Arabidopsis thaliana: one gene and its partners. Each later gene encodes a partner of the first gene's protein in a complex. Each region holds a gene or a part of one and is shown in the gene's direction. Other genes may lie near its edges.

Evidence for each region.
Region 2: ARPC1B (region 1) and AT5G65274 share a complex: the UniProt entries of both Arabidopsis thaliana proteins name them as parts of the arp2/3 complex.
Region 3: ARPC1B (region 1) and ARPC3 share a complex: the UniProt entries of both Arabidopsis thaliana proteins name them as parts of the arp2/3 complex.
Region 4: ARPC1B (region 1) and CRK share a complex: the UniProt entries of both Arabidopsis thaliana proteins name them as parts of the arp2/3 complex.

What each region holds. Positions count from the first base shown.
Region 1 is NC_003071.7:13,343,846-13,353,257, reverse strand, and holds ARPC1B (actin-related protein C1B), read left to right. Parts: upstream 1-3,258; 5' UTR 3,259-3,470; coding exon 3,471-3,540; intron 3,541-3,906; coding exon 3,907-3,995; intron 3,996-4,190; coding exon 4,191-4,267; intron 4,268-4,370; coding exon 4,371-4,465; intron 4,466-4,581; coding exon 4,582-4,651; intron 4,652-4,909; coding exon 4,910-4,979; intron 4,980-5,214; coding exon 5,215-5,288; intron 5,289-5,375; coding exon 5,376-5,418; intron 5,419-5,547; coding exon 5,548-5,629; intron 5,630-5,759; coding exon 5,760-5,848; intron 5,849-5,945; coding exon 5,946-6,031; intron 6,032-6,200; coding exon 6,201-6,264; intron 6,265-6,497; coding exon 6,498-6,598; intron 6,599-6,711; coding exon 6,712-6,770; intron 6,771-6,877; coding exon of another isoform or gene 6,878-6,945; exon of another isoform or gene 6,946-7,210; coding exon 7,211-7,281; downstream 7,282-9,412. Other genes in the region: LBD14 (LOB domain-containing protein 14), read right to left, coding at 1-273; INH3 (inhibitor-3), read right to left, coding at 2,026-2,349; AT2G31290 (Ubiquitin carboxyl-terminal hydrolase family protein), read right to left, coding at 7,860-9,107. UniProt on the Arabidopsis thaliana protein: Functions as a component of the Arp2/3 complex which is involved in regulation of actin polymerization and together with an activating nucleation-promoting factor (NPF) mediates the formation of branched actin networks.
Region 2 is NC_003076.8:26,081,776-26,087,941, forward strand, and holds AT5G65274 (ARP2/3 complex 16 kDa subunit (p16-Arc)), read left to right. Parts: upstream 1-3,524; coding exon 3,525-3,622; intron 3,623-3,700; coding exon 3,701-3,773; intron 3,774-3,817; exon of another isoform or gene 3,818-3,863; coding exon 3,864-3,964; exon of another isoform or gene 3,965-4,049; coding exon 4,050-4,185; downstream 4,186-6,166. Other genes in the region: AT5G65260 (RNA-binding (RRM/RBD/RNP motifs) family protein), read right to left, coding at 588-658, 868-967, 1,087-1,209; RABA4a (RAB GTPase homolog A4A), read left to right, coding at 1,662-1,894, 2,328-2,775; GCL1 (GCR2-like 1), read right to left, coding at 4,354-4,936, 5,019-5,245, 5,404-5,515, 5,821-6,023, 6,118-6,166. UniProt on the Arabidopsis thaliana protein: Functions as a component of the Arp2/3 complex which is involved in regulation of actin polymerization and together with an activating nucleation-promoting factor (NPF) mediates the formation of branched actin networks.
Region 3 is NC_003070.9:22,262,392-22,269,455, reverse strand, and holds ARPC3 (actin-related protein C3), read left to right. Parts: upstream 1-3,379; 5' UTR 3,380-3,624; intron 3,625-3,694; exon of another isoform or gene 3,695-3,707; 5' UTR 3,708-3,773; coding exon 3,774-3,776; intron 3,777-3,973; coding exon 3,974-4,082; intron 4,083-4,157; coding exon 4,158-4,427; coding exon of another isoform or gene 4,428-4,459; intron 4,460-4,516; coding exon 4,517-4,659; 3' UTR 4,660-4,677; intron 4,678-4,799; 3' UTR 4,800-5,071; downstream 5,072-7,064. Other genes in the region: PANK1 (pantothenate kinase 1), read left to right, coding at 386-428, 540-704, 870-916, 1,023-1,139, 1,565-1,684, 1,774-1,868, 1,943-2,036, 2,133-2,264 and 2 more; AT1G60420 (DC1 domain-containing protein), read right to left, coding at 5,213-5,884, 5,975-6,454, 6,599-7,064. UniProt on the Arabidopsis thaliana protein: Functions as a component of the Arp2/3 complex which is involved in regulation of actin polymerization and together with an activating nucleation-promoting factor (NPF) mediates the formation of branched actin networks.
Region 4 is NC_003075.7:732,676-739,304, forward strand, and holds CRK (ARP2/3 complex 16 kDa subunit (p16-Arc)), read left to right. Parts: upstream 1-2,977; 5' UTR 2,978-3,100; coding exon 3,101-3,189; intron 3,190-3,271; coding exon 3,272-3,344; intron 3,345-3,414; coding exon 3,415-3,515; intron 3,516-3,639; coding exon 3,640-3,775; 3' UTR 3,776-4,290; downstream 4,291-6,629. Other genes in the region: AT4G01700 (Chitinase family protein), read right to left, coding at 1-107, 340-812; AT4G01703 (uncharacterized protein), read right to left, coding at 1,577-1,690. UniProt on the Arabidopsis thaliana protein: Functions as a component of the Arp2/3 complex which is involved in regulation of actin polymerization and together with an activating nucleation-promoting factor (NPF) mediates the formation of branched actin networks.

The sequences.
Region 1 (9,412 bases):
TTGGAGGGAGAAGATTTGGGAGACGCAGCCGTAAATAGGATCATGGAGACGAGAGTGAGCCTCGTAAGAGATGGTTCGTACGGCGTCACATCGGTCATGATCAGGGAGATGAGAAATGAGCTTAGAGAAGTTGCTAGCTCCAAACACTTTGTGAATGGCTGCAAAATTAGAAGATCCTTCTTCGTAGCAAAAGTATGGTGCAAATACACAACCCTCTACACATTTCCTACGCAAGAACTTGCATCCTCCACATGGTGAGCCTAAACCTCCCATTCTCAAAACGTAATTATAATCTATTGATATTAACCAACTATTACTATCTTGTAGGAATATTAATACTTCATTACTTATACTCTTCTAGTGACGATTATATAGTGCACGAGTGTTTATGGTAAAGGACTAAGGTGGGATTTATGATAACTCAACTTGTTATTTTACATATTTGTCTCTCTAATGGCTTACAATTACAAGATTGCAGCTTTTATATTTTCCCTCAAGTTTATATTGTAAAACATCTCTCTAATATTCAATAACTCGTTGTAATATATTATTGAGATTAAACTCTTAAGGTGGAGAATATTCTTAAGAAAATATTGAGAGAACCATATTAATATTAAGATCCGATCAAATGAGAGATTTGGTTGACGTATAGGACAAAACAATGAGTAAACATGAACCAAACCCAAGTTGCTTTTTGTTGTGGTTTTAGCTTTTTTTTAATTCATAACTAATTTACTCTCTTATTTTATTTAGAAAAATAAATTAGAGTTTACTTTTAGTGTTTGTTTAGTTGAAAATTTACATGTACTTGTGAAATTATGTTAAGATTGTTGTCATTATTGCTTAATTTGGAAAACAATAGTTTAAGATTTAACAATGCTCAACATATACACCACATAAGTGATTGAGATGTGTGTAGAATAAGAACAAAGGCATTTGATATTAGTAGTATATGAGACAAGTTATTTCTATATCTCGATTTAAATATTTTAAAATGCTCTCAGTTTCGATCAAACTTTACAGACTAGAAAAATAGAGAGACCCATGATTATCCAGCCCACATATTAATCATGAATCATGATTAACATCAAAAATATTCCAAAATAATTGATCAAGTACAAAAGTTAAATTATTCGATAATAATGAACAACTGATAGTGGATTTATGACTTAATGTTGGTTTAGTGGAGATTAAAAATAGTAAGAAAAATTTGAGTTTGAAGCTTTATTTTTGTTTTCTTATCTATGTTAAGGATTTCGGGTGTCTTTAGATATCCTAACTTGTGCCTAGAGTTTGCGGAAAAGACGGAGTTTTGGTCAAAGAAGGACCGGGGAACAAAGAAATAACAGAACCAGTACGGCCATGGGATCGGTCTCACCAATGACTGATCTAGGACTCCTCAAACAACCCTCATAAGCCACATTGGCCGTGCCCATCAGTCAAATGCAGATCCAATATCCCTGGAGCCAACTAAATAACCCGCATCGATCAACCATCATGGTCATAGAGCCACCGATCTAGCCAACCAAACCATCCGACCAGTAGCTACATCGTTCTGCCATATCGGTCATATTTTTTTATCGATCCTAATCACAACCCATCTGATCCAGAAGCTGCATTGATCCCAACATCGGCCAATGAAACCCAAACATTATACTTACCCTTTGCAAATCCTATTCTACTGGGAAAATAATATAGTGCTCATCTTTTAATTGATGAAACCCGAACATTGCATTTTGAGAAATAGTATGCAGTCGCAAAAGCAAAAGCAAAAGCATATTCAAATGTAGAAAGAAAATATAACATCCTTGTAATTCTTTAACTAATTAGCAATCTTCAATGATTCACATCATTTTCAACAGAGTATGAAGGAGTTAACATTGCAATGAATCTGCAAATTACTTGTACATATACATAACGCCCAACCAGGGTTAGATAGGAGAAGAGACCAAAACAACAAATGTGTGTTCTTCCATGATCTATTAAAAAGCTTCAATATATAGTAACGTGAAAAAACCTGATTGATTAGTCAACGGCTTTAGAATCATTAGAAGAAGATGCCTCACCAGATTCGGAGTGTTCATGGTTATGATCACAGTGATGGTTGTTATCATCTTCTTCTTCACTGTCATCCTCATCAAAAGGCTTCTGTTTATGAAAGATGCAACACTTCTTCGAACTCTTCTTCTGCATAAACTCATTGTCTACAGTCCCATCTTTCCATGAAACTTTCTTCTTCTTCCGGTTCAACCGAAGCACTAATCTTTCAGTAGGTTGTGATTGAGAAACAGGGTTTTCTAATATGACAGAAGTTGTTGCTGAAGAGGAAGGCCTTGTTGCTGTGCTCATAGCTGAAGATTAGCTTTCAAAATCTGCATAAAAGACTAATTTCATAAGGTACCAAAATACAAGAACAGAGAATAAAAGTTCTTAATAGTAACAACTAACAACATGCTTAAGAATGACAAGAGCTAAAGATAAAAACTAAGACCTTAAACAAAATCGTAAAACAGAACAAAGCCTTTAGGGTTCATTCTTTAGGTAAACAAACCAAACAGATGCTATTTCTCTAACCCTAAATTCATTGCCTACGAGATCTGAACCCTAATCATTCCTAATTCCAGGGGATAAACACAAATCGGTGATATGAAATTGAGAATCAAATGTTGCAGTAAACAATAGAGAGACCTAGTTTCGATCGTAGAAACAATAGCGAAACCTAAACCTAGGGGAAAAAAAGATTCAAAGAATCAAATCGACGAAGAAGCAAACCTGTGAATCCCCAAGGAGGAAGGGACGCTTGTTGAATCGAGAAACTTTTTTTTTTTTTCGTTTTGTTTTTTTTTTCTTTCGCCGATGGAGAAATTTAGTCGCTCCAACCAAAAAAAAAAAAAAAAAAAAAATTCGGTCTAATTTTATATTTATTTTCTAAGAAATGTTAATATATATATTAGAAAAAAGACTAATACAGTGTAATTAATTTTGAGAAAACTATAATGTTAACTTATTTGGGATTCGAAAACTGAATATATAGAATGACTTTATAAGTTACTCATACTCATAGTGAGGTTTAGTTCAGATTTTTACATGGATGGATTTGATTAAATCCAATTATGTATATTTAAGTATTTAACTAATGCAGAATTTAGATCTTATTTTTTTTTTTGCTTATTATTATGCTGGGCCGCCCCTAAGACAGGGCCAAGGAAAATAGAAAATGATCTGGTCATAAAAAATTGGGCTATAAGAGTAAAATAAAACACACAAACAAAAACATCCGTCTCTTTCACTTACACTTTCACTTCACGTTTGCGACTGTGTCGTCGTCAAGCTCCGGATCTCATCGGCGTTTCATCATAATTATCTGTCCATCTATTCACCGTACGACTCCGTTTTAGAAATCTGTAGATGTCAATTTGAGAGAAAAGACTGTCTTCATTACAACACATTTGGGACAACAAGGATCACTCATGGCAGTGGTGGATGTTCATCGTTTCGCTGAGTCAATCACTTGCCATGCTTGGAGTCCTGATCTCTCCAGTATGTTTCTAACACCTCTCTGATTTTGTGATTCTCTTCTTTCTCTCTTCCGTCGTTTTTCTGTTTTTAGAATTATAAATGAGGAGGATCTTTAGTTAGTTTTTCTGAATTGACTTGTGTTATTCTTATACATCTTGGTAATCAAGTTTCTTCTAAATCCCTATAATTGAGAATTTTCGAGTCAATGTTTTATATGTCTGTTTGTCGGTGTCTCTTGTTAGGAGCACTTGGTATCTAGTATTGTACATTAGTAGATGCGCTTTTCTAAACAGATGAACCAAATCTATTGTTACAAATGATTTAACGTCTGTACTAAAGCCTGTAACCATTTATGTGCTTTGACATTTGTTTCGTTTTTCTTGGTAGTGGTTGCTCTCTGTCCTAACAACACTGAAGTTCATATCTATAAATCATTGTCTCAAGACCACTGGGAGAGGTTACATGTCCTCCAAAAGGTGAAACCTTTCTCTCTCCCTCTCTTTCTGTAACTTTTGAACTTGCACTCCTTTTGCTTTCTCTTCTTGGGAATTCCTTACTTTCGTATATTTATGTATTCTCATTTCACTGATCACTTGTCGCTGATAAGTGTTGTATAGACAGCTTGAATCTCCCTTACAACAACTTCATGATTATTGTTCGTCTTGTTGCAGCATGACCAAATTGTTTCTGGAATAGATTGGAGCTCAAAGTCCAACAAAATCGTCACTGTTTCTCATGACAGGAACTCGTAAGTTGCTACCTTTGATATACTTTGAGAAACTCCAAACCTGTTAATCTTAGTCCTTCACTTTTTTTCGTTCGTTGAACTGAGTTTAGAATGCTTCTTGAAGGTACGTCTGGAGCCTGGAAGGAGCTGAATGGGTACCAACTCTCGTTATTCTTAGACTAAATCGTGCTGCACTTTGTGTCCAATGGAGCCCCAAAGGTAAATGTTTAATTTTTCTGGTTCTTAAGCTTAATTTCCGTAATATATCATGTAATTTTCCTATAATTTCTACAGCTTCTAATCTATGTTCTCATCTTTTTGCTCAATACCCATAGAGAACAAGTTTGCTGTTGGAAGTGGTGCTAAAACTGTTTGTATTTGCTATTATGAGCAAGAGAATAACTGGTATTTTCTTCTTCTGCTCCTAATTCTCATTATTAGTCCTTGATTTTTTCTTTGGCAAGTTTCCTGACTTCTTTGCTACGAATGGTGTTGTTGGTCTATGTAATGATATTATCTTGTCTTATGTACTGGCATGATATTAGCACCAATCATATTTTTTATTATCTTGGCATGCATAACTGTGTATTGTTTAGAGATTTTAGAAAGATACTTTCATGTAAACTTTTAGTATCTGACATTGCTTGGCTTTACTGTTTGCAGGTGGGTCAGTAAGCTAATCCGGAAAAGGCACGAATCTTCAGTCACATCTGTTGCTTGGCATCCTAATAATGTACGTGCAATCAACAGAACCTCTTGTAGTTCATGTAGCCAAAATATTAAGCAGGCTCTCTGTAAAAGCTTTCTCTACCAAAAATATTCTATAAGTTGGCCACCAGATTGAGTATAGAGTACATGATCCCTAAAAATAGAATATCAATCTCCACAAACTAGTTAATCTTCTAAATCATTTTTTCTCGTATGCTTTTTTATGTTGCTGTGCTCTCTGATTGTCTGTTATGCATTAGGTTCTTCTGGCAACGACATCAACAGATGGAAAATGTCGGGTATTTTCAACATTCATCAAAGGAGTTGACACAAAGTATGCTCATTACTTGAACGTCTACTTTTAAGACATTTTTTCAAACATGAGGCCATTTCTTATTTTTCTTTCAATGGGCTGATACAGGGATTCAAAAGCAGGCTCACCAGCGGAAACGAAATTTGGGGAGGTTCGACTAGTTTGGCTGGCTTTCCTTCTTTTAGTAAATATTATAATTCTTGTGCCATATATATGTTCCGTCTACTCTCTCATCTAATGTTAGGGAGTTTTTTTTTCTACTGTGGCTTTGTTGAAACAGCAAATTCTTCAGCTTGATCTCTCATATTCTTGGGCATTTGGTGTTAAATGGTCTCCAAGTGGAAACACCTTAGCATATGTAGGTCAGAAAATCCTTCAGACTTGGGATGTTTTTCCATTGCGCTCTACTGAAATAATACAATGGAACTTCAACTTGGTTGCAGTTTTTACTACCATCTGTCATACTTTGCGTGTTTATGTAATCATGTATAGGTCATAGCTCCATGATTTACTTTGTTGATGATGTTGGCCCTTCTCCTTTAGCCCAAAGCGTTGCATTCCGAGATTTGCCTCTTCGTGATGTGGGTCAGCATCCACCTTTATTTTACTTTTGAGAACCTGGTTTCTCCGGTGTGTTATGTCCTGAATTGATATATTATGGGGAAATTGCTATTTCAGGTCCTGTTTATTTCTGAGAAAATGGTGATAGGGGTTGGATATGACAGCAACCCGATGGTATTTGCTGCAGATGATACTGGAATATGGTGTGTAACTCTCAGAAATATCTGCTTAAAATTCTCTTTCTTAGGGGTTTGCATACTATCAAATTTTCAGTTCTTTTATTCCTCTTAGATCACAGGCCGGATTGTTGGTTCTGAAACGAACCACTACCAATAATTGCTTCGTTTACAAGTTTTTGTATTTGGTCTGTAGGAGCTTCATAAGATACATTGGAGAGAAGAAAGCGGCATCTTCAGGTTCCAGTTACAGTTCGCAGGTACATACCAAATCTTCTTTCTTATATTGCAATATGTCTGGTTTTAGCCTTTTAGTGAAAAAAATATGACTGAACTTTAACTTATCCCTGAGTTGTTCCTCTAAAGATCGTAATCTTTGGGGGTTAGTGTAGTTCCTCTCTTTCTTTTTTTCTTGGATTTACGATACGACTTTCCACTTGCATTATTTTGTTGTGTTGTGTCTGACACATCTGTTCATTATGTTATTTTTCAGTTTTCCGAAGCGTTTGGAAAATTCTACGGTAGTCAATCAAAGTCTACAACAGCCAACGATGCTTCTGATTCACGTGGAGGCGTTCATGATAACAGCATAACGTAATTGTTTCTTTATCTAACTTGGCTTGTACCAAATCATTTGCCAAAAAACTGTCTCTTTAGCTCTTTTACTTGATTATCTGTTAAGAGCTGACGTAGAAGTTTACCTGCAGTTCCATTGTGCCTCTGGGCAAAGGAGGGAGTCCTAAAGTTATGCGATTCAGCACTTCAGGTCAGTCACTAAATTTAAATTTATATAACCCTTCATGGAATCACCCGATTCAATTCATACAAAATGACAGGTTTCATTAGCTCGCATTTTCGGTTTATTATTTATAGGATTGGATGGCAAAATAGCCATATGGGATCTAGAGAACATGCAACAAGAACTTGGCAATCAGTTTTAATAAAATCTGGATCAGTAGTCAGCTTACTTAATTTGTATATCAGATTTTGTTTCGACTAGCCTTTTCACCTTTTTCCAATTTCGTAATTGTCACACTTGGTAAACTGCATAATAAAGGCCATGTTTTCCTGGTTTGTGTAAGGGCAGGTGTTATTAAGTTTTGAGCTATGCCCTTGTCTCTGGATCTTTGTAATATCTTGAATGCTCTATCATTTGATTCATTATACGAGTTGGTATCTTGTATATTAACATAATAACATTTTCAGCTTTGTGTCGAATGAGTTCTCCGGACAACAACCACAGAAATGAATGCTATATATCAACAAACTTGAAATGAATCTTTTCATCTGTGATGATATATACAATCCAGAATGAAGCTGACACTAGTATCATCTGACATAATCATCGGGGAATCAAAAGCTCCGCTTAATATCTGTGTAATCAAAACATGGCTTACATCAACTGAAGCACGTACGTACGGTCTTCAGGGGTTAGAAAATTTGACCACTGGTATGTCCTTTAGGAAGCTGCAAGGTGACTTTATACACAGACCAAATGTGAAACCAAGAACACATATCGGGAAAATTCCAAGTACGTGCAAATGTTTTCACTCAATTTCTGGACCACGTTCATGAAGTATATAGCATTGTTTCAGAGAACTCTTAACTCTTGATTCCCGCCCAAACTGAACTAAGTGAAAGTATTCCAGCTGCCTTAATTCACAGATTCTATCTTGATCTAGCATCTGCGGGGAACAACTCGTATTTTGCATTTGTTTACAAGCATATTGTGATCTTCGTAGCTTTCAGAAAAAGCACAACGTCTTAGAGATTGCAGACTATATAGGTAAATTTTTCTCCATTGGGTGTCACTGAAGAGAATCTGAAGAGAACGTCCAACTTTACCAGAATGTTCTTATTGGGTGTCACTGAAGAGAATCTGATAAAACCTTTTTCTCTCTTCTGGATCAAACAGACCACCTGGTCGATCCCCATGGTTTTCTTCTTCATCGACATCATCTCGATCGTGGTTCCTGTCTTTCTTTCGCACCACAGGCTTCAAAGATTCAATACCTTTCTCTCTCTTCTTCTCTAGATTAGCCAAATATCGCCTGTGATTATACTCATACAAGCCCTGCTGCATCAATTCCCCAAATTTATCCTTCACAACAACGAGCGGGTCCTTGTGAATCAATTCCGAGCCATTGTATCCTTCTCTGAGGATCACAGTGTGAACCTGATACTTGTTTCCAACGTAGAATATGCCTGGATGCTTCAGAAGCATACCATTTAGCTTCTCCGGTAACCCAAATTCCCTCTTGAAATGACTCAGCTTTACGATTGACAGCTTTTTCCACAACGTCAACGAGAGTAACTCGTGCACCAAACCAACACTTCTCTTCTCACTCTCCTTTGAACCCTCAACAAGATCCCCATGATCCTCATACGGAGATATGTAAGGAAAGGCATTAAACTCCATGAACCTCTCCCACGGTTTGGTCCACGTGGAAGGTAGAGAGCAAGAGAAACTAGGCTCAGAGCCACATTTCTTTGCTGCTGCTTCAACTGCAGAGACAGCCAACTCAGGCTTCCACAACAAAAGCTCAATCTCCATTGAACTCTTCCTACCACTATAATTCACTAACCGAAACACATCTGAGTACTTTGGAACTATTCTGATAACATAATCATCAGGGAATCCAAAGCTCCGCTTAAACTCGTTAAGCTTCACGACATTGAGACGCTGATTAACACTCAACATAAGCAGCTTTGCAAGCCTATCTGCGAGTACAGGCTCTTGTGTATCTTTGACCAACTCTTCCTCTTCCACAAGCGTCATCATCGGTTTCGTTAACCTACAGTAATACTCATCGTTCTCGAGATAAACATGGAAACAACAAGGGTATTTCTTAAGCCAATTCAAGGCTTTCCCCTGAAGATCAAGAGTCTTAAACTTCTTCTGTAGAAACTTAATCGATGCAACCTGATTGGGACACCTTAAGATAATGTTCTTGAGCCGACTGTTAACAATCCATCGCTTGTTACGCGAGAGAGCAGATTCGAGATCAGGGTCTTTCTTCGTTGACCAAAGTGAGAATCTTCGGATTAACAATGGAGCATACTTGGTACCCAGAATCCGATATAACTCTCGTGTCATAGCCATATCAGTCTCTGACTACCAAACCTAATCAAACTCAAACTTCAATTATTGACGAATGCGATTGGTTATAAGCAAAAAGAAATAGAAAAGCCTCCACCTTTAGAGTATCAGAGGAGCAAAACAGAACCCTAATACCGCCACGAAGGAAGTATGATCGGAGGAGATAAGCGAGGAGCAGAAAGGAGAAGCCTTTGAAGTCGATTCATCAGACTCAACAACGCCACAGTTTCGACAAGAGGTAGAAAAGAGATTTTGCTTCTGAACCCGAGATTCGAAGGAACAAATTTTATGCCCTTACTCTCTGCAGC
Region 2 (6,166 bases), on another chromosome or scaffold:
ATCATAAGAAAAGTAAAACTCAACGCCAGAAAACAAAAACTATAGCATCCTCAAATTTGCACAGAAAAGTTACTAAACATATGAAATTTTCAATTATATCTGAAGGCTAAGGTTCCACCAGTAATATGAAGACTCAATCTACTTTCCAAAACCCTCAATATCACTAACAACAGAAACCCCTCACTAGTTTTCATTTGAAGATAAAGTCTTCACGCTAAGCACCAACTTTTTACCATTCAACAATTTCATCTAATAAGAGTTCTCACTGAATAGACAAGAATCCATAGCAACAAAGATGTGACATTACACCAAAAGTCAGAGTAAACTAGTGATATATTCAAGCACTAAATGTAGAGAATGCAATCATGGATCAGGAAGAGAACATAATCAGATAATAGATTTCTACGATAATAATTCTAACACCCTAGATAAAAGGTTTTGTATCAAGAGAGCTAAAAAAGGCACAATTCATAGTCTAATCCAATGAACATTAAGATCAATACGAGTTAAAAACTATGAAAATAAAGCAGAAGCTAGCTAAGATGGCTTAAAGAAAGAAAACGACGCAGAAACATAAATATTCTTACATTGCCAACAAAAACTGATCGAGCATCAACCTCCTCCTTGCCTGCTTGATTCGCTGCAATACTAGCAGGATCTGGAATAACAAAATTGAACCAAAAACTTTAGTCAAGAAGCAAAAAAAAACTCCATATACATAACATAATTCACAGTGGAATTCTAAGATGGATTCAAACACCACCAAGTAGCTACCAATTATCAAAAACCTAGCGAATTGCGGGAAGCACGATGATAATCATATCAAAGAAGCGAGTTATAGCAAAACCAAATCAAAGAGACGAAAACCTTGAGCTCCCATTTCCTTCTCGACCTTAGCCTGCATCTCACGCAGAGCAGCAGCTTCGTCCTCCATCTCTTTCAATCGTTTCTTCATTTCATCCAACTCCTAGAATTACAACAGCAATAACACAACAATCAAACACATATACACGCGATAACAAATCAATCGAGCTCAGTCACATAAAGATGAGCAAAACAGTAAGAGAGAAAGAGATAATAGTAGACCTTAACCGCATCATCATCAGCAGCAGCCATATCCAAATCGGGGTTGAGAGCCTCCATATCTCCATCCATCTCTCCGACGTCTGGAATTTCACCACCGTAAACCTCGTGCTCCTCTTCCTCCATCGTCTCTCTCGCTCTCTCTCCGTCGCGACGTTTGCTTTGTTTTCTTCTGAAAACGCTTAGGTCACTTTTTGTCAATTCGGATAGCGACACGTAATCAACCAAATAACGGCCCTTTATTATAACTTAATGGGCCTAATAAGGCCCAATTTTAAAAGACTTTTTAACATTCGAAATTACCCTATTTGATGACATCATCACCCAAAAACATGCGCCTGACAGAAAGATAATTGTCGAATCCGTCAAATCTCACCGAGCCGGCAGAATCCAACGGTTAATATTTAGACACGTCATCATTAATTAAAAATATTGACTAATAGTTGACAACGACGACAATACGACCGTATCAGATCTCTCTCTGCGTTTAAAACTTCAAAAAAGCTCACTTTTCGGTAAAAGCTTAAAACAGAGGATTTAGCAAGAGAGGATTTAGCGAGAGAGAGACGTTGAAGAAGATGACTAGTGGAGGAGGATACGGAGATCCGTCGCAGAAGATTGATTATGTGTTCAAAGTGGTGTTGATCGGCGATTCCGCGGTTGGGAAATCACAGATACTGGCTCGTTATGCTAGAGACGAATTCAGTTTGGATTCTAAGGCCACCATCGGCGTTGAGTTTCAGACTCGGACGCTTGTTATCGATCACAAGAGTGTTAAGGCTCAGATCTGGGATACCGCCGGCCAAGAACGGTAATCTCCGACCTCTCCCGGAACTTTTAGCTACTTCAATTGCTTGAACTTAGATCTCGTAAGATTTTACTGTTTCTCTAGATCTGGAAGATGATAGGTCTGCTTAGGATTTCGAATTCTAGTAAAGCTTACTGATCTGTATACGAAATTGGGAGGATCTGAAGTAAAATGGTAGAATCATTGAGAATTTGGGATTGGGATTTCAAAATTATGTATAGACTAGAATTATGTATATTACTATTCCAATGTTATTAAGCTTCTATAATTTTATGATTGGTACAAATTTGGACACTTTTGTTATACATTTCCCAGTGATGCTTCATCAACTTTATACATTCACTGATCTTTAATGAGTAAGCTAACCACCACATTTCATGCTTATCATATGCTTACATTGTATATCTTTCTATATGTGTGGTATTGGTTGAAACAGATACAGAGCAGTAACAAGTGCATATTACCGAGGAGCGGTTGGGGCGATGTTGGTGTATGACATAACCAGACGCCAAACCTTTGACCATATCCCAAGATGGTTAGAAGAACTACGTGCTCATGCAGATAAGAACATTGTGATAATCCTTATTGGGAACAAGTCAGATCTTGTGGATCAACGAGCTATACCGACAGAAGATGCGAAAGAATTTGCGGAGAAAGAAGGTTTGTTCTTCTTGGAGACATCTGCATTTAACGCAACCAATGTTGAGAGCGCTTTCTCCACGGTTTTGACTGAGATCTTCAACATTGTGAACAAGAAAAGTCTGGCTGCGAGTGAAGATCAAGAGAATGGTAATCCCGGGTCGCTTGCTGGTAAGAAGATTGATATTGTTCCAGGTCCTGGTCAAGTGATACCAAACAAGAGTAACATGTGTTGTAACTCTTAGATAAACCAATTCAATTCTTGAATGTTACTTGATAACAACAATATATAGATGTTTTAAAGACTCTGATTGGGATATTTCTCCTATCTAGAGCTGTGTGATTCATTTGTTGCTTAATGAGCAGTTTTTGTGGGGTTTTGGGGTGTTGAATCCAAGTATAACAAACCGATCTTAATTTGATCTTAAAAATTGGATATTAATTTGATCAACATGTTTTTATTCTCTCTACATTTGTAAGATTATTGTTACATTTTTGTTAATTACAAATATATACCAGCAATAACAACTTTTCTATTTCTCTTGTTACGTCAATGTGAAAAAGTAAAAATTAAAAACTGAAGCATCCGATTTTAATAATTGGTATCACAGTTCTGATAAATTCTCACTCGGCCGTTTTACCACTCGATTGCTTTATTCTCTCTAATTTCAGGTAATCTTCGAATCCTGCTTGATTCTTCAATCTTGTATGATTTGATCAGAAAGTTCAGGATTACTGATCTGATATGATGTGAGAAATCTGCGTACCATCGGCAATGGATTGTTTTACGTGATTAGAATTGATTTTGTCGTGATTGTTACTTCTCTTTTTAGCTTTTTATGGGGATGACAAGTTTTGCATTGCCTCCTTTGGTTAGTAAACTCAAATCATATGTTTCTTATGCAGCAAGTTGTCGATTTGAATGAAGAAATGAAATTAATTGATTAGGTTTTAGATAATTTTGCTGGAGAGTGTAGAGAAAGAGAGAGATCCAATGGCTGGTGCAGCAGCATTTGTTGAAGCTGATAATGCAGAGGAAATAATGGCAAGGATCGAAACCAAATCGCAGAAGATTGAAAGCTTACTCAAACAGTAATAACCCTAAAGTTCCTTTTTTCTTCCAACTTTCTCAGATGACCTAGGCTATAATTGTTACTTCGTTTTATTCAGCTACAAACATGTCGAAGCTCTTAAAACGGCTCTTGATGGTTCGCCACCTAAAACTCTCGACGAACGTTGCAAGGTCCTACTGTTTCCTCTACCATGCACATAAGTAGTTTGTTCATGATCAAAAAGATTGTGTAATTTATGATAAATATCTGTGAAATTGCAGTCAGCTAATTGGATAGTTGTGCACAGAGCTATCATGGCGATAAAGGATATCGAAGGAATGTTAAATTCTCTTACTGCCGAGTATTACGACATTCTCATGAAGTAAGTCTCTTGCCTTTTGCTCTGCTAGCTTTTAATTAGCGTGATGTGGAAGCAGTGTTTTGTTTGCTTAAATGGTGTGGATCAGGTACTTGTACAGAGGTCTTTCGACTGGTGACGAACCCACATGCGAACAGTGTTTGATGATTCACGAGAAACTAACAGAGAGAGCTGGTCTCGGTTGCATTCTCCGTTGTCTGAGTGATACTACCAATACCGTTTAAACCATTAAGCTGATCTTTTCATGTTACTTTTATTCTTGTTTTCTATGAATGTTTCTCCCAAATCTCAAGTTACTTCAATAGATTATAGAAAGTGGAATAAACCGGAGAACCTAAGATCCTTTCACAAAGAGATAGTCATAAAAGAACCTACGGTTACCTGGTTTTAAATTATATCTCATAACCAGGAAACTTAGAATCTACCGGCGACACAAGATCGAACCAGAGGCATACTGGTCCAGCTAGTCCCCGGAATAGCGAATAATCATGTTCTGTTTCTTGGCTTGTCATATTCACGAGCTCTATCGCATCACGGCACAAGTAACTCGCAAACGCTTTTGCTCTCTCTTCATATACAACATCTCCGGTTAAGCGATAAAGGGATAAGAAAGCGTAGGCATTACCAGCAACTCCATCAGCTAAACCTACCTTCTTCACCAAGCCACTCTTCCACACTACTTCTCCTGCTTCAATGGCTGCTTCGCGGAAATCCCTTTCCTTGGGAAACACCTGAGATGCTTTAGCCAAAGTAATGGCCATGCCGGTTGCTCCATGAGCCCATTGGACTAGCTTATCCCTCGGATTCCCTTCGCTGCACGGGTAGTTTCCGCTGTTCGGAAACCTATTACTCATCATATACCTCAATGTCCCTTGAACATCTTTAACATCCTCTTCCGATAGTGGAAAATGCAGCAATACATACAAGATTCCAGCTAATCCATTCGCAGCACCCCAAAATCGCGTTCCGTGAAACCTAAAAGCCACAAAAGTAAGATCAATTCCTACTAAAGATAAACAGGATTCTCTTTTAACAAACTATAGCTATTTTGTGAAACCTGTATAACAGAGGACAAGCTTCATGATCTGCAGCTCCAACTCGCCCACCGGCTAAGATGGCTGCAACAATGGGTGATAAGAGATGGTCAGGAACAGTTCCTTGGCCGAGATATCGGTTTAGGAACAGAGCAGCCCAAAGGAAACCCGCTCTTCCATAGAGAAGGTCATATGACATCCCAAATCCTCCTTCCTCTGGTCCTGCTGGTAACTCTCTCTCTTCTGCAAGCTGCTTGTAAGAATAACAAATCTTAAAGGCTCGTCACTTCACTAATCTTGCTTAAGGGTTAATATATGACACGTTGGATCAAAATACTGAATCTATAGCTTTTATCTGAAAGTGTTGTAAGCAAAAGAAATGGTGTATGAAGTCAAAAAGATTGGAACCTCAAGAAAAAGACCGAGGAAGAAGTCACGCTTTGATTGGTCCCCTCTGTAATTGGCTACAATTGCACCAAGCGTACAAACTCCTCCTCTTCCACATAAAAATGTCACGTGCCTATTCATGAGCATAACAAGTCCAATAATTTGTTAGAAAATGACAAGTCCATTCTAATGGGTGTGTAGATATTGTTATTATTCCAGAACCTGAAAATTCGTTCATACATACATAATTTTCTATAAACTATAATTGGTTAAACAGTGACATCTTTGTAATGACTCAATCTCACACATGTGTTTTCTATCAGACAGATTTTAATTAAGAATATTCTTTAAAATGGTTAGATTCCATTTTTTTTTTTTATGGAAGATGATATTTGATGTTTACTTGGCTAAGCAACTTAGTGACGAAGATATTTTCACCTGGTTGTGGCACGCGCAACGTTGGCACACGTGTCGATTATCTCTGCGCAAGTTAGCAGATCTTGATGGTTCCGCGTTACCTCGTACGACTTCAAGCAGGTGAACGCTGTGCCGAGTAGTCCTGTGTACACAGTCGGATCCAGCACTGGACCCGAACCAGAGGCAAGAGCTTCGACACCACCTTTCCACGTGGCCTCCACAACCTATACATACATCGACCAAAAAACATATATGAGCGAACGTACGGACTAGGCTTACATTAGCCGTCTGGGGCGTCGCATAGTTATCGTAACGCACCTGGTTCTTGAGTAACGTCGCTGCTCTGAGGAAAGATTCCGTAGGGAGA
Region 3 (7,064 bases), on another chromosome or scaffold:
TTCTATTCTGGGAGAGCGTTTGTATTTCAAATTCTATTTTTTTTGGTCAAAACAAAACACCTTTAGATTACTTTTCAGTTTCTTACATTTTAGTTTAACGCACAGAAAAAAAAAAAATACTATTTTCTATCCAATCCGGAGAAGACTAAATGACAGGTCAGCAAAATTCGTCTCTCTTTCTTTTTAAAAGAAAAATTATTGACGCAATCAATACAGCCAAACATCGCTCCATGAAGAAGAAAAAACAACAACAACAAGTCAGCCATGGAGAAAGAGAGAAGAAGTAGATAGATGGTTTAGATCCAAAGTAGTTGATCGTTGAAATTTATTTCTATTTAACGTTGAAAAAAGAGAATTTTGCAAAAACCCAAACAAAAAACCCGCCATGGATCCGACTCAAATCTCTCATTTGGCTCTCGACATCGGAGGTAATTTAAAAATCCAAACTTGGCTTTGTTTCATTCAGTTTTAGAATTTTTCGGTTCTGGGTTTGTCTCGAATTAACCGGAATTGGGGTTTTTTTTTTTCTGGTTTCGTAGGGACTCTGATCAAGCTTGTGTATTTCTCTGCAAATGGAGATTATAGCGAAGAGTCTCGTAATGGTTGCTCTGTTGTGAAAGGAAGGCTTTGTTTCGCTAAGTTTGAGACTAGAAAGATTGATGATTGTTTGGAGTTTATTCGATTCAATATCCTTCATCATTCCGGTAAAGTTTTGATTTTTATGATCCTAACCTCTGATTCATAATCGGATTCATATGTACTCAGAAGTATTATGTCTATTTGCAGTAGTAATGTATGAGTCATTAGCTTACTGATTTCGAGAAAAGTTGAGTTCTTTTGATATTTCACTGACAGAGGTAACTATTCAGGTGTACAGCAACCGAATGGCGAAGGTCATGATAAACTTTATGTTAAGGTAAAAGCTAGCATCGGTTATAGTTTGGATAAAGCTTTGTAATGAAGAATGTTGAAGTGGGATTTTTGTTTGTAAGTTGATTATGGTATGGTATATTATTCCAAAGGCCACAGGTGGTGGGGCATTTAAGTTTGCTGATCTCTTTAAGGAGAAACTTGGTATTCTTTTCGATAAGGAAGATGAGATGTGTTCTCTTGTTGGTGGTGTTAATTTTCTACTAAAGGTTTGATTTTTTTTTCTATCCTATCATCATCTTCTATTCATTTTTCCTCAAACATAACCCACATGAGGATATATATGTACTCTGAATAGTCTAGGCTACACGTTGCTATCACTCATCTTTGTCAACACTTTTTGCTAATTCTTTATGAGTGAAGTTGTATTATGTTTCCCTGATAGTGATCTTGGCCTGAGTGTTGTTGCAGACTAACGTCTATAAGACTGAAAATATAGCTACATTAACATTTAGGACATTATAAATTTGAAGATGGTGATCATTTGCAATTTTGATTAAATGAGCTGTGCTCCCTGAGGTTTTTTAACCGATAGTTTCTTCATTGCATTAAAAGCATCTGTGGCAGAATAGTTTTTGATAAACTTCTTATTTCTGCCATTTTAAATTAACAATAGATTATTGCATGATTGCAGACTGTCCCAAGGGAAGCTTTTACCTACTTAGATGGCCAAAAGAAGTTTGTCGAGATCGACCATAATGATTTGTATCCATATCTACTAGTCAACATCGGTTCTGGCGTTAGCATGATCAAGGTTCATTCTGGTTTTGGTTTCTCTGATCTCTCTGTTTTTGTTTGCTACTACACCAGCGATGTTGCTTACTCAAACTCGTTCTTATATAGGTCGATGGAGATGGAAAATATGAGAGGATAAGTGGAACAAGCCTTGGCGGAGGCACATTTTTAGGTCTTGGGAAGCTTTTAACAAAATGCAAGAGGTGACTTCTTAGTTAAGTCTATTAATGTAAGTTTCCTCCTTGCCTGAGTAACAACTAATATTTCTTAATTTCAGTTTTGATGAGCTGCTAGAGTTAAGCCACCATGGAAATAACAGAGTAATTGACATGCTTGTGGGGGATATCTACGGTGGAACAGATTATTCAAAGGTAATTGATTGATCCTGGTTTTGCTTAAACATGTCTGAAGACTTTTAGATTAGATTCATATGTTAATATAACCTTTTGTTCATTCTTTTTTGATAGATTGGTCTCTCCTCAACAGCTATCGCTTCCAGCTTTGGGAAAGCGATTTCTGATGGTAAAGAACTTGAAGATTACCAGCCAGAAGATGTGGCAAGGTCCCTTCTAAGAATGATATCAAATAACATCGGTCAGGTCAGTTCCTCTGAACATTTTAATGCCATTTTAAAACATAATTTGAAGCTGATGATATTCTGATCGAATTGTAACGTTTTCTACTCTCCCTCCAGATTGCTTATTTGAATGCTCTCAGATTCGGTCTTAAGCGTATTTTCTTTGGTGGATTTTTCATCCGTGGGCTTGAGTACACCATGGACACAATCTCCGTTGCTGTTCACTTTTGGTAAATCCAAAACCGAAACTACTTAATCAAATCCCTCCATATCTTAAACTCATGTATGTCCACAAAATCTTTATCGAACTTTCTCATTTTTCCTTCTCATTTCAGGTCGAGAGGTGAGGCAAAGGCAATGTTTTTACGACATGAAGGGTTTCTTGGAGCATTAGGCGCTTTCACGAGCTACAATGACCAGAGCCATAACGATTTAAAACCGCATCATCACACTGTGCAAAGAGCAATTCTCAACTGTTCAGGTCATAACTTTCGGCACATCCCAGTAACTTCAAATTTAAACGAAAGCGAGACCATAGAATGTAGCATCAATTTAGTTTAGTTATCACCAGTTGTATTATTATCAATTCAGTGTAGAAATATGTTTAATCAACTGTTTGAGTCAAGAGCTGCTCATTACTAGTTTGTTGAATGTTAGACACATTTATGTAAGATGATTCACGTATTAATATTCATGTATGACCAATGTAACTTGTACTATATATCACACAAAGAATCAAACACACTTATTAAATCTCACTAGAGCTTCTTTAAATCTCGGTTTAGTCCGGTGCATTGCAAGTATTTGTGCATTTCTGTTTAGCCTTTGTTTACTAAGTTTTGTATATTGCTTATGTAACAAGTTTTTATCCATTCAGCAGAAATAACAGAAACTTGACACTTATATGGACATTTTGTTGTTGTTGTTGATTGAAGATCAATGTTTAATCCGGTCAAACCACTTTGATGTAACCCGAAACTGAACCGAAGAATGAACCACATCATTATTTGGTTTTTGATGTACCTAATTCCAGTGGTCGATAAGAAACCAAATTTCAAATAAAAAAACCGAGAAACTCAAAAATCAAAGCTAAGCCGGATTTAACATTGGTTACTCCCGGTACGAAGCAATGTACCACATTCATGGAGTCTTACACGTGTCATCCATACCTCTCTGTCTTCTTCTTCTTCTGTTCTTCATTCCTTTTTCCTACTTCGTCGATTTTCCATTTCAATTTCTTCTTCAGCCGGCGATTAAGCTTCCCAATAAGACAATCTCCGACCGCCGCAACATCACGAAGGATTCTTCACCGTGTGAACTTTACGCAGTCTTTCCTCTTTCGTAGACGCTAAAGAAGTTGAAATTGATCTGATCTCGTTTAGGTAAAAACTTTTTCTTTCTTCATCTATAGAATCAATCGTTCACCTAAATTCTGATTCTTATATATCCAAGATCTTAATTGCAGCAGATCTACCTTCGATTCGATTCTTCTCCTTCCTGATATCGCTTCATTGTTCAAATTCGGCACAAAATGGTACGGATCACCATTTTCTTATCTTTCAATTAGCATTAATCGCATTTCATTTTGTAACTAATGAAATTAGATTAGATCTTCGATGAGATTTTTTTTATTTATTGAGCTTGTTTCACTTTGATTTGGTTCCATGGAGTATTTAACTCTGCGATGCTCATTTTGTTTCCTTAATCCTTGTGATTAAATGCTCTGATCAGGTTTATCACTCGAGTTTTGTGGATGAAGAAGGAGTAACAAAGGCATGTGGTTGTCCATTGCTTCCTCTCAAGAGTCATATAAAAGGTCCTGCACCTGTTTCAGAACAAGGTAATTAATCAAAACATGTGATTTTTTTCAATTGTGCGATCGAAAGCTTTTGTAAATTGTTGGTTTTATATGCAGATAAAACTGATATAGTAGACGAGGCAATCACCTTCTTTCGTGCTAATGTCTTCTTCACAAACTTTGATATCAAAAGTCCTGCTGATAAGCTCCTTATTTACTTGACGTTTTATATAAATGTGGCGTTAAAGAGGCTTGAAGGCTGTAGAACATTGGCTGTTGGAACTAAAGCGATTATCAACTTGGGTTTAGAAGATATTCCTGTTCCTGGAGAAACTGGCTTTCCTTTCCCAGGTCTCTTTTCGCTTCCGCAGTCCCAGGACGAAGCAGGTATATATACATGTCTAAACAACTCTTATTGATTTTTCTTTCAGTTACTTGGTCCTTAGCCTTGTGTTCTGTTTGGCTTCAAATGTCAGAGCTTTTCAGGAACTATCTTAAGCAGGTTCGAGAGGAGACAAGTGGGAGGTTACTGAGTGTAGCATATAGAGCCAACGGGACACCAAATAAATGGTGGCTTGCATTCGCCAAGAGGAAATTCATGAACGTGGTCGTCCTATGATAAAACAGAGAATCACTGGTAAGTATCACTTTAGTTTACTGGATCCAAAATCCCACGTGATCTTAGATCCATCTCAAACAGTTCTACATTTCAAGCTTAAAATGTTTTTCTTTTGATCTGATTTTTTCATAATTTAGCAGCTGGTTATTCTTCCTTGCTTGCTGCCCATTACGAATGAGGGAATCCAAAGCCACTGGAGATCATGAGAATCGCCACCTTTAGCTTCCTCTGCATAGGTGTTAGCCACTGGAACCAGGAAGACGAAAATTTCATCTGAGAGCAGAATGCTCTCTCTCTGTATCTCTTGATATATACATAGAGTGTGCCAATGTATTGTTTCATACAACTCCTGTTGGAATATAAAATTTGTTGATACAAGATCAAAGTTAAATAAGAAGATTCTTTTATTATTACTTTAGATTAACAGAGTTTATCTCCAAGGTCTTAATCAGATATCAGATTGTAACCACACATTCTCACTCTTAGCAATTATACAAAGAAAGGAAATAGCTTTGCATACACATAGTGACATAACTGTGCCTGAAGCTACCTATCAGGCCTTGGTGCATACGTTTCCTTCACAAACCCAACCATCTTTGGACTCGTCGCCACCAACTTTCACAGCCTCATCGCCGTTTTCTTTTGTGTCCTCGTTTAAAGCACACTTGGCGTGAAGATCAAAGTCGCATTCGTCGCAATGGTAAGACCATATTGTCCCTTCTTCCTCACACTTATCGCATGTGTAAACCTGAACACGAGTTAGTTCTAGCTCATGTTCTTCATGGAGAACATGTTTCACCTTCTTAGGCCAATCTTTTGCTATCTCATCGTACTTAGCTTCAATCTCCTTCAAACGTTCCTCAGTAAAAGGGTAAGCATCGGCTCCATGGGCTACGACAAGGTCCCTTGCTTCTTTTGTTACGGTTTGCCCAGTTGGTCCCAGAGCTGCTAGCATTGGGATCCCACCAACCTTAAAGGTTTTTGCCAAGGATGCTTTCCTAGGATCACCAAATGGAAGAGCCAGCCACGGCATTTGCGAATAGTACTCATCGAATGATTCCTGGTCACGGTCACTGGAGATGAAGATCAATTCAAACGCTTCATTCCGCTCCTTTATCTGCTTGTATACTTCAACAAGCTTTGGTGTAAAAGCGCGACAAGGAGGACACCAGTGAGCTGAGAAGTACATAAGAATAGTCTTCCCCACCAGATCCGAAACAAGCACCTAACAAAGAAAGCCAAATTTTTACAGGTTGGTTCAGATCAGCCTTGAAGAACAGTGTTTAGAAAATGAAGAGGGTATCGAGAGCTATACCTTTGCCCCATCTTTTCCGAGAACGTAGTTGAGATCACCTGAGACAAGAAGTGACTCGAGCGTTTGAGCCTCTACCTTTGCCTTTTCTAGCTCCTTGAGTTCTTGAAACTTCTCTGGAGTGAAAGGATACGCAAGAACTCCATAGTCATCAATAGCTTCAGCGACATTCGAGTGACGGGTTTTTCCATCAGGGCCGAGAATGACCAGTGTCGGTAGTGTTGACAGCATGAAATGCCGAGCCAATTTTGATCCACTTTTGTCGTTGAACGGCAATGCTAGCCATGGCTTGGTCTTGAAGTCTTGATTAAAAGACTCCTCATCATCTTCAAGAGATATCAACACAATCTCAAAATCCTCCTTATTCTCCTTCAGCTTCGTATAAAACTCAACAAGCTTTGGAGTAAGCTCTGTGCATTTCCTGTAAGAGGCCACAGAGAAGAGAAGGCCAATGGTTTTTCCCTCAAGCTCTGATACGGGTACCTAATGAATATGCAATTGATCGGTCTCATTAAGTCAACAAAAGAGAAACAGGTCCGTAATAACTAACTAATGCAAGAGTCTTGTATAGATATAATCTTCCTATTGACGAAAAAGAATCTGATCTCACAAGCTATTAATGTGCACCTTGTTTCCGTCAGGCGAAATCACAAAGTCTCGTGAAGGAGTCACCAAGACAGATCTTAAGGTCTGTCCTCTCCGAGCTCTATCTTCATCCTCTTTGATCTCCTTCATTTTCTCTGGTGTGAAAGGATAAGCATCAGCTCCATAGCTTCGTATGACCCCAACACCATTCTCATTCACAAGTTTACCATGATCATCAACCATCACTAGGTTAGGTATTCCCCTAACCTTAAACAACTCATCCAAACGGTCACGGGTTTCCGAATCAGTAAACGGAACAGCGAGCCAGGGCATCTTTCTGAAATAATCTCCAAATGACTCTTCATCCTCATCACCTGACACAAACACAATCTCAAAACCAACTTTCGAAGAGAGCTCGTTGTAGACTTCCACCAGCTGTGGAGTAAACCGCTGACACGGTCCACACCAAGCAGCTGAAAAATACAATCCAATCTTCTTCCCTAACAAG
Region 4 (6,629 bases), on another chromosome or scaffold:
ACCAAAGAGCTGTCTTGAAAGCTAAAACGGAGTTGTTGGCTACAAGTTCTGGGTTCTGTAAACCGTCGAAACCCAATGCTCGACCCGCCTGTCCGTAATTGTAATTCCTATATATCCCAAAAAAGAAAGTAACGTTAACCAAAAGGTAAGACTGATATATGGATATGAAACTTGTAGCAAAGATGATACAACCATTCAAAAGAAGTTTCGTTGGTAATTCGCAAAATGGTAGAAGTATATAATGTTTTCATGGGGCATTGAACTATTGTAGACCTAGTTGTTCGAGCAAATAAATAGATATAAATGGTTATTGGTTAATAATTAATTTTGTAGACTTACCAAGATAGTTGAATGGGACCTCTTCCTTTGTAAGACTTGCCAGAAACACAAGGCCAATCCTTATTAGAAGCATCACAATAATTACTCTGTGGACTCACTTCCTCTTTAAAACACAATCCCCACGCATATGGTCCGTCTGGTGCCGTGGCCCAACCACCTGTTGTCTCGTGAGATATCTGCGCCAAAAACGCAGCCACTTCGCGTCGCCTTGTCCAAAAGTTTCCTACGCTCCCGAACTTCGGGAAGGATCTTGTAGCCTCCACGAAAGCTTCATAGGGGTAGAAACCTTTTGCAGGGCATGCGTTGTTGTCCTTGTGGATGAAGATTTGGTCGTAGAGAGTTCTTGGGACTAGGCTCATGATCGGTGCGGGTTTATATTTATTGTGTTTTCGAGCTTCGGTTTCATGGAGAGAGGATGATATTGAGAAGATGAAGAGGAGTAGACAGAGCAATAGAGAGATTTGTTTCTCCATATTTGTTCTTTTTTGTGTTTTGTGTGAGAAGATGTGGTTTTGGCTTTGTTGTTATATAGAGTCATAGAGATGTAGTAGTGGACGACTTAGTTACATGTTTTTGTTTTGGTCTACGTTTTGACTTTTTTTAGTGGAGTTTATACTTTTTATTTTATATAGTTGCAATTATTTAAGGGTTTATTCTCTTTTTCATTGTTAGGAGACCCATTCCTCTCCTTCTTCTTTTTTCTCATTTTTTTTCTTTCAAGAAGATTCATTCTTGATTTGGAAAATGCATGACATATATTTCAAACCAGATAAAGTGAACCATTTCAGTCTGAATTCAATTGAATAATGTTAATATGAAGACCAAGTTGAATTTTAATGTGGGGAATTAAGCTTCTTTGGAAGGTACTAACCAAATTCAAATATAAATATATTCTTTGAAAATTTGAAACATAATTCATTATGAAGTAAATATTAAATAAAACAGAAAGTGTTCCATACTGAATTATAGTTTCATTTTGAATACTATTCTATACAAAAATAAAAACAATAAAAAAAAATTGAGAGAAATATTAGCAATGAAAACAAAACTATCAAAGAATTGTTTTTGAAGTTAAAAAATATAAAATTTCAAAGTTCGAGGTCGGTGGCTAACTAACATGAAAAGCGCCGAGCAACTTGTGATATGTACGAGTTGGACCAAGTCGTGACGACTTTTTTAATAAGCTTAAGATCCAATTATTTCTCAAGAAAAACAGTAAAACGTACGCCAACATATATTAACTACGACGACAAAATTCTTGGCCTTTAAGAAAGACTAGTACACGATCAATCCCAACGATTAAACCAGCAGACGAGTAACCATATGTAGGGTACGAGTTTCTCAACCACATCTCCAACTTTTCAGTAGACGATCTAATTATGTTTAACCACTAGAAGCCGACACCATAAACATCCATCCGAGGTTATCGTCTTTCGAAGAGTTCCTAACGAGCATTCATGAAACATCATTCTCACTTCTCCTCCCACTAAACCGACTTTTTTCGGATGTTATTTCAAATTTGGTTAATTGCTAAATGATTGACCATTAATTCGACCACGTGATTACACAAAGAGACGTTTAGATCCACTACATTGGTGCGATGTGAAGTGATCACCATGCTTTAGTTTACACGTCCACTTTATATAGGTTTGGCAGTTAAAAAAAAGAAGTTTTATACATAGTTCTATCAAGTGGTCTTAGACCGAATCTTGGCAATATATTTGTTATAAGACTACCAATATCATTAATGATTAGAGAAAGTTAATGTTAAGTTTCATCAGATTCTAATTTAAAACCAATGGGTAATGATTGGATTGGTTGTGTTCCATATATACTAGTGTTAGCACTTAGCAGTCATGAGTGTGTTTACTCCATTTATAGTATACTTTCGATGTAGGATCCTAATTAGAATGATAAAGAAACATTCCAAAAGAGTATTATCAAAATGCTCTTCGTCTATCCATACAAATATAATGAGATTTGGGCAGAAACAACCATTTTGTTAACATATTAGGGTCGAGCGCAGAAAAAAATATATTTTGACCTGTGTTAATAAAATAGAATAGGTTGCGATTTTAATTAAGGAGGTTAATAAATTAAAATCGTAAAAATGATACCAAAATGGTAACAAAATCGTAAAGAAAAGTTCATTAGTATAAATATAAAAAATTCGGTCCAACAAATATTACTATTAAAAATTTATAAGAGAGATTTATAATAAAAAAAAAATTGTTATACCAAGAAAGAAAAGGAGATTCTTGTATTGTAACCCGTTTGTGTGTCTTTTTTAGTCTCAGATTTGTTTTAATTTTCTATGACTTAGGATTTGTAAGTCTTTTTTGGATTTCTAGAACCTGATCGAGGAAATTTCAATGAATATAGTGTAATTGGTTTGTTTGGATTTTGTTCCCTTTGTTTACCTTGTTTGGTATTTGGCTTCGGGAGTGTTCTTGTACTCATCGGCTTATGTCTCCGGAAGTGGTTTGTACTTGCCGGCTCTTGTATTTCAACTTGAATCCTATCGATGAAAATCCTATTGACAAAAAATGAAAAAAAAAATGAAGCTTCCATCATCCATCATTCAGTGGCAGCATAAGCATTTAAGACTACGTGCCGTTTAAGGCCAAGACAAACGGCACTCAGTTCCCTTTTGAAATGGTCAAATGGCGATTGAGTTGTTTTCCTCTCTCTCTCTCATTTTTTCAATTAAAGAAGGGAAAGAGGGGAAATCTCTGATCGGAGAGAAAGATCGAATCGAAGAATGGCAGAATTCGTTGAAGCTGATAACGCAGAAGCAATAATCGCGAGGATCGAAACCAAATCGAGGAAGATTGAAAGCCTACTCAAACAGTAATATCAGACCTTGGAGCTAAACCCTAAAGTCTTCTTTTGTTTTTGGTTTAATCCCTTATCGGTGTTTTAATGTGTGCAGGTACAAACATGTAGAAGCTTTGAAAACGGCTCTTGAAGGTTCGCCTCCGAAAACTCGCGATGAACGTTGCAAGGTCTCTCTCTTTCCGAAACCATCTTTTTTTTTTTTTTTGATTTACTGAGCCAAAAAAAACTCAACTGCAGTCGGCTAATTGGATAGTTGTGCACAGAGCTTTAATGGCCATTAAGGATATTGACGGAATGCTCAATGCTCTTGATGTCGAATATTACGACATTCTCATGAAGTAAGTGCAAAGTTGGTTTTTTTTTTTTTTGCTGTAATGCGTTTTGTAATATGTATGAATTGGAAAGCTCTATCCTCAGGCTGTCTGTGCTCTTTGATAGAATGTTTTTGCTTAAAATTCTCAGGTACTTGTACAGAGGACTTTCTACTGGGGACCGACCCACCTGCGATCAGTGCCTGAAGATTCACGAGAAACTCACTGAGAGAGCTGGTCTCGGTTGCATTCTCCGATGTCTTACTGATACCATCAACACCGTTTGATCCATCATTCCCTCTTATGTATTATTACTTGATGCCTTGATGTTTCCAATGTGCATATTCTCCTTGAGGAACCATGTCTCACATTTATCAGTTTTAGACTTGTATTTTCATTACCAAACAGTTGCTTGATAAATGATAACACAAGTCATTCCTAGAGCTCATGTGTAACATAATTCCCGGATCAGCTGAATCATAAATACGAAGACCAAGTTGTGATTAAGTAATTTTAGGGGGGTGTATTGAAACCAGAATCTTTTAGAAGATTTGGTGGAATTTGCATTCTTCTACAGACCAAATCCATTCTCGATTTTGCCGGTGAAGAACAGAGACCGAAAGCTTTTTTCATGGAAGACGAGGGGAGGAGGACAATGAGAATATGTCGCAGAGATTTTCTGTGAATCTTTTTTTAAATCAAATCGTTCAGAATAACACCTACAGGTGAGATTTTTTCATGCTTATTTTCAACTAAATTTTTTTGCCTAAGTCTCCCAGAATCAATGTTAAATGTTTTTAATGAAATTGTTTTGTTGAGTTTAGATAACAGTGGATTTAAGATGTGTTTTATAAATTCTTGAATGAATAACAGAAGATTATAGATTCTTTTGAGTGATTTTATATAAATTCCAATTTCAATAACAAAGGATTTGAGAAAAAAATTACAAATCACAAGTTGAATACAACCATTCCTGATTCACTGAATGTTCATAACTCGAAGGCCCAATATCGAACTCAGCCCATTGAAACTAAATTCATTTCTAAACTTTCAATGTAAATGCACTCGTCATACAAGAGTAAATGTTCACATAGTTAGTCATTGATTTAAACAATTTTACTCTTTAGATTTTTAAAATTTTATAGGATTGTAATAAACCAGGTTGAATTCAAATGTCAAATAGCGTTAAATAAAAGTTTAGATCTTTTTTTTTTTTTTTTTTTTTTTTATCAACGTTAGTACAAGAAGAAACAAGAGCAGCTTTTGCCAAAGCATCAGCTTGATCAACGTTTCCTTATAAAAGACAAAAGCAATTAAGTTTTTACTTTTACAGTCTTTTTGATCAAATTAAATGAGTAATTGAGTAGTAGTAGTAACAAAAGGGAATCCCAGAAATAGTAGTTGCTTTCACATGAAAAAATTTCCAAATACAACAATTTTTATTTATTATTTATAGCATCCGGTAGTTCCAGATGAACTCTTGAAAACCTATTTTCAATAAATCTGATGATCCTCTTTTGATATTTCAAAAATATTAAGATATATAACAATATAAAAAAATTGTCAGCTAATTACAAATTGTTTTCTCTAAAATTCAAAATTACCAATAAAAAAAATGATGTCTTTAGAAAGAAATAGATAAGTGTTTTTGTGATAAACGTTTAAATTATTGTTTATGTACTCAGATGTTTTCGGAGATAAAATGGATTATATGGAGTCTGATGTGAATTCAATAACTTACCAAGTATTAGTGCATGGGAGAGCGAATTCCCTTCTTCTTCTTTTTTTACAGATTTACGTGGAAGCAATTTTGAGTGACAAAAAAATAAAATATAAATATAAATATATATATATATATATATATATATATATATATATATATTTGAGCGACCACTGATCACAAACGTTACGTTTTTAAAAAATTCAACCCAATTCGTAACCCTAATTTTTAACCCAAAAAAAATAATCCTAAACCTAATAAGCTATATATTCACTATATCTTTTGTATTTGTTTTATTGGGTGAGAAAACTTGTTCAATTAGTCAGTAATTGGTTTTCGTTCTCACTCACCAAATCCTAATTGTCATGGTTTTGAAAATTATTAAATCTGGAAGTAGAACATATAGCGTCGAGATAAATATGCTACCTCTTATATCCTTTTATGTTCTTGCCTTTTTTTTTTTTTTGGGCATACTCTAGCTAAAACAATTTAAGTTCAAGTTTCAAAATATTTTTATACTGTATGTTTTTTTGAATACCAAAAAATCCAAAAAATATTTGAAAATATCCGCAAATATATAAAAATATCTAAAATATTCAAAAATATCTGAATAAATACTAAATTTCTGAATTGAAAGAACCGAAACCAAATCCGAACTAAACCAAAATTGTTTTGATTTTTATATGGTTCTTTAACTCGAGAACACCGAAATAATCAGAACTAGACTATAATCGAATCAAAACCGAACCGAATACCGAATCGTGCAGTTCGAACGGCACATGTGGCACATGTGCATTTATGAACTAATTATAAATGAAGATCCATGTAGGTGCATCTAAGTTTGATTTTCTTTTTTAGTTTTTCATATAAAACATTGAGTATTGTCTCTTTAAGTTTGGTTTTAGAGAGGAAGGACCGAAAAGAAGAGTATTAAGAACCAAAGAGGTATTTTCCGTAAAATATGATTAAACCTAACATATCAATGACAATTAGATGGTCATTCCTTTGACTTTTGTTAGACCATGTGGACAAAAATGCACACATACAAACATGTTTATATATATTTATATATATTATCATCTTTCATTAGACGTGCATATCGGTGGATTATTTAGTTAATTATATATTTGAGCAGACAAGCTAACTATAATATATATCTATATTCTCCCAGTTGTCCACAAAAAGAAAGAACAAAAAACAAAATTCTCCCATATGATGTCTTAAAAATATACTTTCTCTCATATCATAATTCATATATAATATTTGGCTGATCGCAATTTGAAAACGTTCAAATCGTGTTAGGAGGAAGCAAACTTTGATTTGCTTTATCTAATAACATTTACTATAACGAATTAGTACAAAATTTATAAACTCAACAAAATTAGCCATTCAAAACTCAAAACTGAAGTAAAGACTCACAA